Linked DNA regions of Drosophila melanogaster. The protein of the gene in region 1 interacts with the protein of each later gene in a pairwise test. Each region holds a gene or a part of one and is shown in the gene's direction. Other genes may lie near its edges.

Region 1 (9,272 bases):
GATTGGAAAGGTCAGCGCACACAGGCTGGAAGAGGTGGTCTATCACCTTGAGGAGGGCTACAAGGAGAAGCTAGGGGCACTGGAGCGAGAGCTCAAGCAGCTGAGTGTTCAAAAGGTGCAGCCAGAGCCTGTGCAGACTGTGCCAGTTGCCTCGAAAATACCCAAGCCGGTGGTTCGCAAGGAGGAAACCAACATTGATCGGATTCGCAAGCAGGTGGAGAGCGAGTTCCTCAAACAGAAACATGACGATGACACCTATTCCATTGAGGAGGCGCCACGAAAAGGTTCGGAGAAACCATTCCCACAGCTGGTGACCCAAGTTCAAGTGGTGGAAAAGGAGCAGCCAAGTGCTGGAAGTTCGGACAGCAATCCGACTTATACGAAATCTCCAAGGGAACCTGCTCCTAATAAGCAGGAAACGAAAGAAGCCACGGACGTAAGCGATAGTCTCAGCCAAGAAGAGACGGAGAACGAAGAGGAGCGCAGCCTGACAGAGGAGGAGGGGACCGATGTTCCCACCTCCGGGTCGGAAGCAGCACGAGAGGATCCAACGCCAAAAACAATCAAGCCTTCTGGAAGAATCATCAAGTGAGTGTTTCGATGTTAAGCTTTCTTAGAGTAATAATAATCCACATGTTTTAAGGAGCCCTCAAAAACCACTTACTCGCAAGGATGCCCGGAAGATGGTCAACCGGAAGTTGATGTCTCACGGCTTCGATATGAAGTCCAAAGGTATTTCGCATAACTCTTTGAAGAGAGTGAACTCCGAGCTGACAGAGCACCGCAACAAACTGAAACTGGTAAGCCTATAACTGCCAAAAACTAATGAACTTTTGACAATTCTGGAATACCCTTTAGCAACATCCACATTTTTACGCCACTCGAAATCGCATCCGCAAGTTTGTCGAAAAACTGTGCTCCGCCAAGTTCTCGGAACGCGCGGAAATGTTGCTGAAGCACAAGAGTCCACTCAAGCCAATGGAGGTTCCAGGCAAAGGGATCCCGAGGTCTGCGATCTCTGAAAAGTCTGAAGAGGATATAGCCAGCTCTCAAGGCGAAGAGCAGACGGATGAGCAAACGGATAGCAGCGAACAGCAAACTCGAAGCCCCAGTCCTCAAAGACTAGTTAGTCGCGATTTCAAGGCTCGTCTGGAGGAGATCCTGGTCAAGCCGGCGGCCACTATTCGAGGAGCTTCCAAGTCGTCCCTGAGTTCGAGGCCAGTTCCGCTGCCCAGGAAGCGGGTGATGTTCAACACCACGGAGGACGGGAAGAGCTTCAATGACAGCGATGATAACCTAAAATGAGTCAATAAAGATGATATTATAATACTTTGGGTATAAATGTCAACGATACGTTTAATAGCCAATATATCATAAGATAATTATATTCCTTTATGAGTACCTATCACCTGTTCAATGTACCGTACTTAACTAAAAAATATTGTTTTTTAAATGAATTTGCATATTCCGGTCACACTACCTTTTACCGATAGCTGCGCGCCGTGCAATGGATAGGCAATCGATAGGCAATCGACTCGCGCTGTAAACAATCGACGTCACTAACCAACGTAGATGAAAATTTTTTAGTACGTCGCGAGTAAAACGTGCATTAAATGCAATAAAAGGGCAGCTGGCTAAGGATCGGAACGATTGAAGTCAGCCAACCTCAGAGGGGTGAGCAACCGAGGCAGTGAATCCGCGAATCCGTGCATCCAGCTGACCAAAGGGCGAGATTAGCCCAGCACCGAGTTTCCATCCGCACACGGACACGGCGCACACACACACAGGCACACGCAGCCCGTGCCCATCGATGAAATAACATACATAACGAACGTATACCGAAAATACACGGGTTACGGGAAATAGCAGTTGCTGCAATCGGCGGATAAGCGAACTTCAGGAAGCTGAGCAAGCGGGCCCACAAAGATGTCGGATATCATGAACATCGACAGTATCATCTCGCGCCTGCTGGAGGGTAGGTGTTAGGGCTCCAACTTTTGATTACCTTGCCCCCACCCATCATCACCCATTCCCCACATGCCTTGCCACCCAACCACCGCCCACTCTCATCACCTTAACGTAAATTTTCCCTGCTTGGTTTTCCATTGCAGTGCGCGGTGCACGACCGGGAAAGAATGTTCAGCTATCAGAGAGCGAGATCCGCAGCCTGTGCCTCAAGTCCCGCGAGATATTCCTGTCGCAGCCCATACTCCTGGAGCTGGAGGCACCGCTGAAGATCTGCGGCGACATACACGGACAATATTATGACCTCTTGCGCCTGTTCGAATACGGCGGCTTTCCGCCCGAGTCAAACTACCTGTTCCTGGGCGACTATGTCGATCGCGGCAAGCAATCCCTGGAGACGATATGCCTGCTGCTGGCCTACAAGATCAAGTACGCGGAGAACTTCTTCTTGCTGCGCGGCAACCATGAGTGCGCCAGCATCAATCGCATCTACGGGTAAGTGGGGAGGCGGCTCCAAAAACAGGATGAAGCTTGATGAAATGGTTAGCAATCTGTTCAGTTCAGCACCGAAACAATTTGCTTTCCTGCTTAGATTACTGAAACTCATTTGATTACAATTTATATTATTCTTACGACTCGTATTTACTTCTGATGACTATGTACTTTTATACATGCTATAGAACTTATAGTTGTTTATTGTTTACGTGAGCTTTAAAAATTTCCCAGACATATTGATGTCTACTTATGCTTCCAAGCTTATTAATACTTTCTAGTTTATTGACGCACACAACGATATCCATTACAATTAAATTAGCCATACTTCAAATACATAAAGTAAATGCCACATTCTATAGCAATAATCCATAAAATTACTCAACTAATTGCACTTAATTGGCAGGTTCTATGACGAATGTAAACGTCGCTACACCATCAAGCTGTGGAAAACTTTCACGGACTGCTTCAACTGCCTGCCGGTGGCCGCCATCGTGGATGAGAAGATCTTCTGCTGCCACGGTGGCCTGAGTCCAGATCTGTCGTCCATGGAGCAGATACGACGCATCATGCGTCCCACAGACGTGCCCGATCAGGGACTGCTGTGCGATCTGCTGTGGTCGGATCCGGATAAGGATACCATGGGCTGGGGCGAGAATGATCGCGGCGTGAGCTTCACATTTGGAGCAGAGGTGGGTTCTTCGCATTACACTGTTCGCCACAATGTTGTTTATGCATTCGCTCTTGCAGGTTGTGGGTAAATTTTTACAGAAGCACGAATTTGACCTGATCTGTCGGGCTCATCAGGTAGTGGAGGACGGTTATGAGTTCTTCGCCAAACGTCAGCTGGTGACGCTCTTCTCGGCGCCCAACTACTGCGGGGAATTCGACAACGCGGGTAAGTGATCATTGTTCGGGGACTTTAGTCGGAGATAAACCTTGTTTATTTGGAGAACAACCACGTTGCACCCTTGTACTCGGTGATTTTGCCTGCCGATAAGCTGTCGGCAAGTGAAAGCTGGCAACCAGATTTAAATTCAACTCGGAAAATGCGCATTTAAAAATAATCAATAATCAATACCGAGAATGAAACTACCTATGCACGACACCCGCTTCTAATGAATTGATTAATCATTATTGATTACGTTTACAGGTGCCATGATGTCCGTGGACGACACATTGATGTGCTCCTTCCAGATATTGAAACCCGCCGACAAGCGACGATTTGTTTATCCCAACTTTGGCAGCTCAGGACGTCCTTTGACACCGCCACGCGGAGCTAACAATAAAAACAAGAAAAAATAAACACTGCACACCTCGAACGAAGCACAACAACAACAGCAACTACAAACGGCCACACACACAAAACACAAATAGGGAAAACAGAAAGGAGAATCCGTGTGTCCACATTCAACGGAAAGCGCAGAGAGTTTGTTTTTATCATAAACGTGTAATCGAATCGTGAGCAACGTTATATGGGGAATATGAATCTACACAAATTAGCCTATCTTTCATTTGAAAAGGAAAAAAAAACAAAAACAAATAAGGAAAACGAAACGAATGAAATGAAATTAAGAAACCAGAAAACACAAATCGAGACACTTTAGTTCAAACTAATGGTAGTGTAAGACACTGCATAAGCAAGAATATTTTATCTCCTAATGTATTAATTTTGTTATAATATTTCCTTGCGCAAAACCCACACACTCACACACACACACACACATACACATGCTCAGATCATCCGTACAGTAGGTACCATAAGTGCACGCACCGGTTGTATTTTAATTTGCATTTCCAACTCGCACAGCATTTTAATTATGTATGCCGATCCTGGCGGCACCTTTGGCAAAGGTCTTTAACCACACTTCCCTTCTTCCTTGTTTTTTTTTTTTGCGTATCTAAGGGAATATTAGCAAATGGTAACAATGTTAAATTTTATGTTAATTAAACTGTACGAGAATGCTTTTAAATGTGAGTTGAGGTTACTACATATTACATATGTATGTACTCGAAGCACGATTTATTTTTGTAATATTTGACATCGATACATGTTTACTTAGTTTTAAAACGAGGAAAGCAATTTTAGTTGCAAGCTACAAAAGCTTGAATTGTTTACACCAAAAATATTAAAATAAACAAATATTGTGAATATTTTTTAACTGTTTGCATTACACAAACACACACATACAGGCAAGCACGCACACACGATTTTAAGGAGAACCCTGAAAAGTATGTTTATATAGACAAAAATAAACCCGAATTGAAAATCTACCTTAAGGCGAACGCTTTTGAGCGGCACTGTGTGCTCTCTGCTGATGTCAGCGACGAGGCAGATAATGTTACCCCCTTTTAATCCCCCGCCCAGACGAAAGGAAAGCAGCGGCCCCAGACCCATTAAGTGCATGTGAAACTCACACGAAATATAGAAAAAAAAATCGAAACAAAAATAAGCAAGTAATAAAATATTTGTAAACAGCAGCGCAACAAACACAGACACAAACACTGTTTATCGTACAAGTGTACACTTTTGTGTATTTTGCATTCTACGACTAACGTCGCAACATTCTAGTGCTAAAGGCCGCCACATTCAATTACAAGTATTATGCCCAGGCAGGCAGGCAGCGATCCGGAGCGATGCAGCCGGACGCAAGTTACCCAAAATGGTTTCGTTTGTATAATCCAATCCAATCCAATCCCCGCCCGACAACCAAGCAACCTACTAACAACAATCGTGTAACCTACGGACAAAAAAAAAAAAACAAAACCAAAAGCAAAGCATGAGTCCTCTTCTATTTCACACTCTAGTACTCTGTTCAATGTTGTAATGAATTCAACGTATATTTACGACTATATATGTACTTGTAATAATGCGATCCAGTACGACATCGGCTGTTTTCAACCCCCAAAAAACACAAGTCATAAGAAATCTATAACGTAATATCGTAAAATTAAAGTGTAATTGACCCCAAGAAGGAAATTAGAAAAGACAGATGGGGTAAATTTATAATGCATTCAAAGCGTAAATTGCAAAAAAAATAAAATACAATAAAAAAATAACAAACAAAAAAATCATTTAAAAAAGAGCTAAAAAATGAAACAAAAAAATACAAATTAAACAAAATGAACACAATGACGAAGCACTTGTAACAAAATAGCACTGTTTTATTAAAAAAAAAATTGAAATACATACTAGCAATAAATATGAAATTCGAGATGTGTTTTTACTTGAGTGAAATGCATGTTAGTTTCTTGTTTAAAAAAGCAAATCTATTATTTATTGTCTATATAGTTGGTGTTACAATCTAAAGCATTTCGAGGACTTTAAAATCTTATTTATAACTTTACTTTATGTTGCTTAATATATTGCACTAAATTTACTTTGTATAGCACTTTGTGTTTAGTTATATCGCAGTGAGCAACTCTTTCCCAAAGGAGCACATGTGCCACCCGTGCCCCTGCCATGTCGCTCATCCTCCTGGAGCCTCAGCTGGAGCAACTTCTGCCTTAAGGCATAAGGTGTGGTGGTGGTGCTGCTGCTGCTGCTCCTCGTCACTTCCTGTTGCCTGCTCTCATTGGCGCGATCTTTGTTCCACTTGTCCGAGTTGTTGAAAATGATTTTATCATATGCCCGCTGCAGGCGCAGCTTATCCTGGCGGACATCACTGAAGCATTCGCTTGTGTTCATCAGGCGGAAGTGCTGCAGGGCCTTCAGTTGCTGCAGCTCATCGTTCGCCTGTTGTTTGGGATACTGAACTGGGCGTGGCGATGGCGTCGAGTTGCCACTGTAAACCTGACCCTGACCTTGGCTCCTCTGGCGACTGGCGACGCATGCGCTCTGCTCGTAAAGGCGACGATTGTCCGTGTACCTTTCATGATGGTTCGTGTTCGAGGTGTCAATACCTCCTGTTCGTTCCCAGCCCCATCGCAAAACCTTGGCCCTGCTCTGCTGACGTTGCTGGGAGGAGCTGCAGCTGCAGCTGGAGCAGTGACTCACCGTGGTGGCTGTGGAGTTCCGGCGACTGAAGTCATTGACCAACTCGGTGCTGGAGTGGCCTAGGCCAAATCTGGGCTGGTTCTTTACGCTCGGACGTTTTATAAATTGGGTGGGTCGTAGGCTTTGTCTGGAAGAAGAGGTCACCGACCTGAGATCGCCACGTGGATGATGATCTCGATTGAGCGCAAGATGTTGCGACTGCCGCTCACTTCCCGATCTCATTACGCCACAATAGCATTTGTGCATTTTGGAAACTATTGCGTCTAGATTTTCCGATGATTTCAGTGATAATTACTTATCTTTCAGATTATTCTATTCCCCAAACTGATTGCGTGCCCGATGAATGTTGAGAGACTACTGGCGACAACCGGTTTCCACACTTATGGTCTGGTACTTTATCACCAATCATCATACCATATGTATATACCGTTAGCCGGCTCAGCTAAGCACTCGCATATCGTTTGTTTATATTTGAACAACAATTGCAACAGTTTCCATAGACACATGTCGAGGTCCTTGGGCCGTTTATTTTTGGCCAAACACTTGCTGGCAGACTCATGTCCACACGCATACAAGTGGATGCCTAAGCCCAGTTGGACAAAAAAATGTGCTGGCCAAACGAAAGACTTAGGCAACAAACTTGAATTCGGTACCATGAGTTCAATCGTAGAATTACAATCAAAGAATAGTGTTGTAAATGATCAAAAGAGATTGATGGGATGAAGCAGAGCGAATTTAAAGAATCAAAAGCAAAAGGTATAATTTTTTTGATTTGATTTGATAGTTAATATATACATTGTGATTTGCATTGTTATTATACATTTTTAAAAAGGAATGAAAGTGAAAATCCTAAATATATAAACACATGCTTGCAACTAAGATTTCATCTTTGGATTTTTCTGAAAATTTTTGATTTCCCAATTACCTATTTTACGGACTTCCAGTTTTAATGATGCCCGTTAATCCAAATTGTGCATTTAATTTAGCGGTAGCCACCCATAAGATTAGCCAATTCGCTTAACCCAAAATTAGTTTTCCCATTTGTGCAAGAATTCGACTGTTGTGATTTCAGCACACCAAATGTTGCCAAATATTGACCCAATAAAAACTAGTTCCTGTGCACTTGTAGAATGTACGCTAAGTCCGCTCAAGTGTCCGGCTTAAGTGGTTCGATTTGACTTCCTCGAAGAGAGCGAAGCGTGAATATCGTATAAGCCATATATACCCCATATTATGGCCATAAATTATGTTGACAACCAGGTAAGGTTCAATGAACCGCATAGCGGGGGAAAATTAAATCGAAAGGGCAAACAACAGCAACGAACAGGGTTGCTGGGTGGCTCGGTCATTGGTCGTTGTCGTCACTTGTCTTCCACTTCCAGTGGTCATTGGTGGTTTGGCTATCTTGGCCTGGCCAAAAGCGGCGAGCCGGAAAGCAAAAGTGGTTCGCTCACTGGCTGGCTTAATGGGCCAAAGCTCGGCGCGATTGAAAATCGATGGGTTTTCGAGACTCGCAAAAGCTCTCCGACTTCCAACGTTCAGAAAGCCAACTTGAGGCGCCGTCGCCGCCGCTGAAGCTCGGTATAAAAAGACGATCGGCGGACGCATCCCGTGTACACAGTGATAAGTCTTCGGCCAGAACCACCTGTCACCTGAACCGAAAACGGAAGTCGCGCGCGCGTGTAGCCATCTCTTCGTGCCGAGTGTCAATTGAAATTTGGCTGTGGCTCTTGGTCAATCGATTTCGTACATCCGATCCGATTTCGTACATCCCCCCGGACGAAATATGTCAAAATACTCGCTACTACTAATGCTGCTGCTAATCGCTGCGGTTGCGCAGGAACTTACTGTAACGGCTGCGCAAGAATTGCGTAAGTACTGCACCCAAAAAAAAAAGAAAAAAATACAAATAAAAAACAAATAAATTAAGCAAATCGAACATCAACTATTGCGGCGAGTCAAAAGTGCAAAAAACTTATAGATCGTATTTGCTTTGGCGCTATGCTTCGGCTACATCTATTTGCTTGGCACCACATTTATGGTTAAAACGTGATCGATATGGCTTATGGCTCTTTAATTTCGTTTTTTTTCATTTGGGAACTCGCGTTTTGGCCTGCAGACCAGAAGGTCGATCTCTGTAAGATTCTCTAGTGGCGTTTATAGTTGCATGCAAATTTGGAGTGTTATTACAGCAAGTACAGTAAAAATCAGTAGAGTCACGCCGGCTTAGACTTAAGTACTGCTTCAAATTGGGATTCTGGGATTTACCTTATTTATATACTGGATTTTTTTTACATTCTATACTTTTTAAAATATGCATGGTCAATTTCAGTTTAAGAAAGCCTGACAATTTCCCAGAACTGGAACTAATATTTATGTTAACGTTGCTGTAGATCCATAGAAATTGTATTTTTAAGTGTTTTCATGTACATTTTAAATACTTTAGAATCATGAATAATTACTTTTCTTGGTTTCAACATTAATCAAAGCTAGATTTAACTTTGAATCCCAAAAGAAATCCAGCAAGACAAATATGAACAATTAAAAACAATTAGCGTGGGAATCACCGAAAAGCTAAATAAAATTATTTTCCATGAAACGATTAAAAATGCGATGGGCTATTTCCAAGATAATAGTTTTGGCAATTAAAAACGAGAATAATTGAGGGGAGATATAAAAAAAACAAGCGACCATAAGACTTTATGCGCTTCATTTGCGTGCTGCTAAATGGTCAAGATCAATTAAGATCGGTTTTTTTTGGCAGCATTAGAGGTTTCCAGCTACTGAAGTCCACTGTAAACGGCGGTTATGCAATTGA
Region 2 (3,681 bases), on another chromosome or scaffold:
GCGAATTAATTACATTCGACATATTGCCTCATAAATTAGTTGGATTTTGCTTTTCTCATGAAATCTGTGGAGCCGAATGAAGTGATTGATTGATGAAGTGATTGGCGGAAATTAAAAATTCAAGTGCAGATAAAATTAATTACACCCACCCCTATATACATTATTTAGATTAAGATTAGAAAGTTCAAGGCAAACTTTGACTGTAGAGATAATAAGATTGTATATTAGATTGTTACCTTAAAAGTGGGCGCAAAGTTGGGCTGCTGCTCCTCCAGCAAGCTGAAGGCGTTTCCCTTCTCCCGGAGCAGATTCAACTGGTCGAGCTTGAGCAGATCAGCGTATCGCTGGTTCTCCACATCCGTGCGGACATCCCAAGCGGACATATCGCCGGAGAGACGGAAGTTAAGATCGCCAAACCAAAAGACAAAGTCGTGATCGAATATCCGGCGATATCCCTGCGCATTGTACTTGTGATTGTCCACGATTTGGTGATAGTCTTCGATGCGCTCCTTCAGCTTCTCATCGTGCGCCGCCAGATGGGAGCAGACGAATGCGACGCCAGTTCCGTAGAGCGAAAGTCGAATGCTTACGGCACCCTTGTTGCCCCACAGCCCTCCAAGTCCCGTGCGCGTGGCTTCTGTCTCGATTTCTTTCATGTGCGGGATGTGCTTGTGCTGTGCGAACATGGTTATAAGAATTCCCTGCAGCTGCTTCGAGTCCACCTTTACGAACTGGTGATCGCTCAGAGAGTCCGCGATCTTCAGCACCCACGGATCGTCATTGAAGATTTTTAGCACCTGCGGTGTGGTGCTCACCTCCTGGAATCCGATTACATAGATATCGGGCAGCTGGTTATCCGGACAAGTGGTGGTGCCATTAAGGGACAAAAGGGAGCTCAGATCCTGATTTCGCGGCGTATGGGTGCCCACGTTCCAGGTCAAAAGGAAGATGCACAGATCCGCAATCGCCGTGGCCGTAACCATTTTTCCGCCGTCTAATTATCTATGATTAATACTTGTTGTTTTGGACGTCACAAGGTGGCTGTTGATGAGTTCATGGGCATCCAAAACAGGTTTACGGATTTGGCAGCATCAGCAAATAAAGCGAAAGGCGTTTTGCACACGCAACTTTCATTTATGTAACCGTTAATTCTTCAGCACTAATTTTTTAAGCCGCTTTAATTGGACTAGGAAGCGCTAGTTGCCCGTATTATTTATAGAATACTCAGATGTCGTTATTTATGTTTATTTGTCCGTCCGTTGCGTGAGCTTAGTGTGACCGCAGCACAACTATTTAAATATACCTTAGGCGGCGGCAAAAATTTTATGGTATCTCGATAGTAACGGAGCTCTGAAGCTCATCGAAAACATCGGCTAACATGAGCTTCTCATCTAATTTAGATTTTTATTTGAAACACATTAGATATTATAAAAGCCAAAAATCAATTTAAGAAATATAAAGATATAAGATTAAAAGTTGTACTGTGCGTAAGTTCCTTTAAAATAATAATACTCTTATTTCATTGTTTTTTTTTTTACGCGAGAATGCCCCTTTGCATTTGCTTGTGCTAAACCGATATTATCGGCAACTAGTCAATTGTGTGTACACACTGGCTAAGGATTTTTCATAAAAATAAACACTTTGTATAAACTTACCTTCCGAACTATTTTACTTAAGTTAAAAGTATGGCTAACAGCTACGACATACCCAGTTGGTGCGTTGTCAAATTCAGCCGCTGCCTTGCCACAAAATCACGTAGCATTTTATTTATTTTAGGGCTGGAAAACCGCCCACTGGCTTACATCTGGATGTGCTAAAGGACGACAAACTAGTACAAAAACTGATGGTGGATGAAAAAAGATGCTATCTATTTGGTCGCAACAGTCAAATGAACGACTTCTGCATAGACCATGCCTCTTGTTCGCGGGTCCACTCGGCGTTTGTCTACCACAAGCACCTCAACATAGCCTACCTCGTGGATCTGGGGTCCAGTAGGTACTAAGATATCTGGGATTCGGAGTAAGCTTATCCATTTACTTTTGACAGCTCATGGCACCTTTATTGGAACACTCAGATTGGAAGCGCACAAGCCCACACAGCTGCAGATTAATAGCACCTTCCACTTTGGGGCTTCTACCCGGAACTACATACTCAGGGAACGACCCTCTGGCCACCACAGCAACATCATGGAAGACCTGCCGCTCAGTGAAACCAGCGATGGAGCTCTCCTGGGCCTACCCGAAAGCCAAACGGAGCTTGATGTGCGTTTGGTTGAAAAGAAAAGCTAAATACTATGTAAACTAACCTTCCATTATCCTGCAGAATCTCACAGAATACAACACAGCCCACAATCGGCGCATCTCAATGCTGGGCATCGATGATGATACCAATATGCGAAAGCAAAACGCCTTGAAACAGGGACGGCGCACTCGAAATGTCACATTTAACGATGAGGAGATTGTCATCAATCCTGAGGATGTGGATCCTAATGTGGGACGCTTCAGGAACTTGGTACAAACCACTGTGGTGCCCGCCAAGAGGGCTCGCTGCGACGTCAATCATATGGGCATCCATTCGGGCAACAGCAGTTTGTCCAGTGCCAATGCCGCACATGTACACCAAATGTTCCAGCAGAGCCTAGTTGACATGAAGCAGCAGCATAGGGAAATGCCTCCGCCCAATGCGGTGCTCCACTCGCCTACTAATTCCCTATATCAAGGTCTACCGGCCGAAATGCATGGCAAGGGTGACCTAGAGCCCATCTCCCCGCTGAGCATTGGTTCCAAGTTGGGCCTATTGCTCCCGAATCCTGCGCCTGAAGTGCTGCCAGTCTATGACGAAGCTGTGGAGACCTCGACATTGGCTCAAAAGTTGGCCGTCGCTAATGCAAACGGTAATAGTTCTCGCGACTATTTGTTTAAAAACTTACTGATTGTTTATAACACCATTTTAGTTCGTCGCTTTGGTGAGGATCCGCATGACTCGAGTGGCGAAGGCGATTCGCTGTGCCCACAGAAAAAGAAATACGCCAAGGAAGCATGGCCAGGTCGCAAGCCCATGTTGGGGCAGCTGTAATTGCGTATTAACAAAATAATTAAGATTCCACCTACGATTTTCTCAAGCATATGATTGACAACACACTCTGGAGTAATATTTGTTTATTAGACTTTTAACGTAAAACAAAACATTTAATATCTTTATCTGATCACATCTTGCAGCTGTGTGGATACCTGGGGAAGGGTATCACATCACGAATGTTTTTAACGCCCGTGACAAGCTGCAAGTAACGCTCAAAGCCCATTCCAAATCCTCCAGTTGGAACTCCTCCATACTTTCGCAAGTCAACGTACCATTCCAGATCCTTCGGCAGATGCGGATGGGATTTTAATATAGCAGGATCGCTTTCACGCAGGCTCCCGCCGCATAATTCTCCAACAGCTGGCATCAGTAGGTCTAGGGCATGAACTCGATTGGGATTTGAACGCGAGACTTTCATGTAAAAAGGTTTCTGCTGAGCTGGCCAATCCACAACGAATACGGGAGCACCACAATGGGCCACTAAAAAAAGTTCTTGGTCCTTGGAGAATCCTTCGTTCAGGCTAATAGGAGTCTTAAGACTGTCCTTGTTTTCCTGCAGTACTTGCAGGGCTTCATCGTAGCTCATTATCTTCCACGGTACTT

Evidence for each region. Proteins that work in one complex are often made in the same cells at the same time.
Region 2: the proteins of Pp1alpha-96A (region 1) and NiPp1 interact in a two-hybrid assay, tested with the Drosophila melanogaster proteins (3 studies listed by BioGRID).

Annotation. Positions count from the first base shown.
Region 1 is NT_033777.3:24,516,733-24,526,004, forward strand, and holds Pp1alpha-96A (protein phosphatase 1alpha at 96A), read left to right. Parts: upstream 1-1,537; 5' UTR 1,538-1,926; coding exon 1,927-1,975; intron 1,976-2,111; coding exon 2,112-2,460; intron 2,461-2,863; coding exon 2,864-3,149; exon of another isoform or gene 3,150-3,207; coding exon 3,208-3,355; intron 3,356-3,610; coding exon 3,611-3,762; 3' UTR 3,763-5,599; downstream 5,600-9,272. Other genes in the region: DZIP1, read left to right, coding at 1-588, 644-800, 859-1,305; CG13622 (uncharacterized protein), read right to left, coding at 5,858-6,700; Jhbp12 (juvenile hormone binding protein 12), read left to right, coding at 8,241-8,325.
Region 2 is NT_033778.4:17,003,063-17,006,743, reverse strand, and holds NiPp1 (nuclear inhibitor of protein phosphatase 1), read left to right. Parts: upstream 1-1,594; 5' UTR 1,595-1,685; coding exon 1,686-1,714; intron 1,715-1,776; coding exon 1,777-1,991; intron 1,992-2,046; coding exon 2,047-2,261; intron 2,262-2,322; coding exon 2,323-2,893; intron 2,894-2,953; coding exon 2,954-3,075; 3' UTR 3,076-3,181; downstream 3,182-3,681. Other genes in the region: CG6805 (uncharacterized protein), read right to left, coding at 237-983; AsnRS-m (Asparaginyl-tRNA synthetase, mitochondrial), read right to left, coding at 3,206-3,681.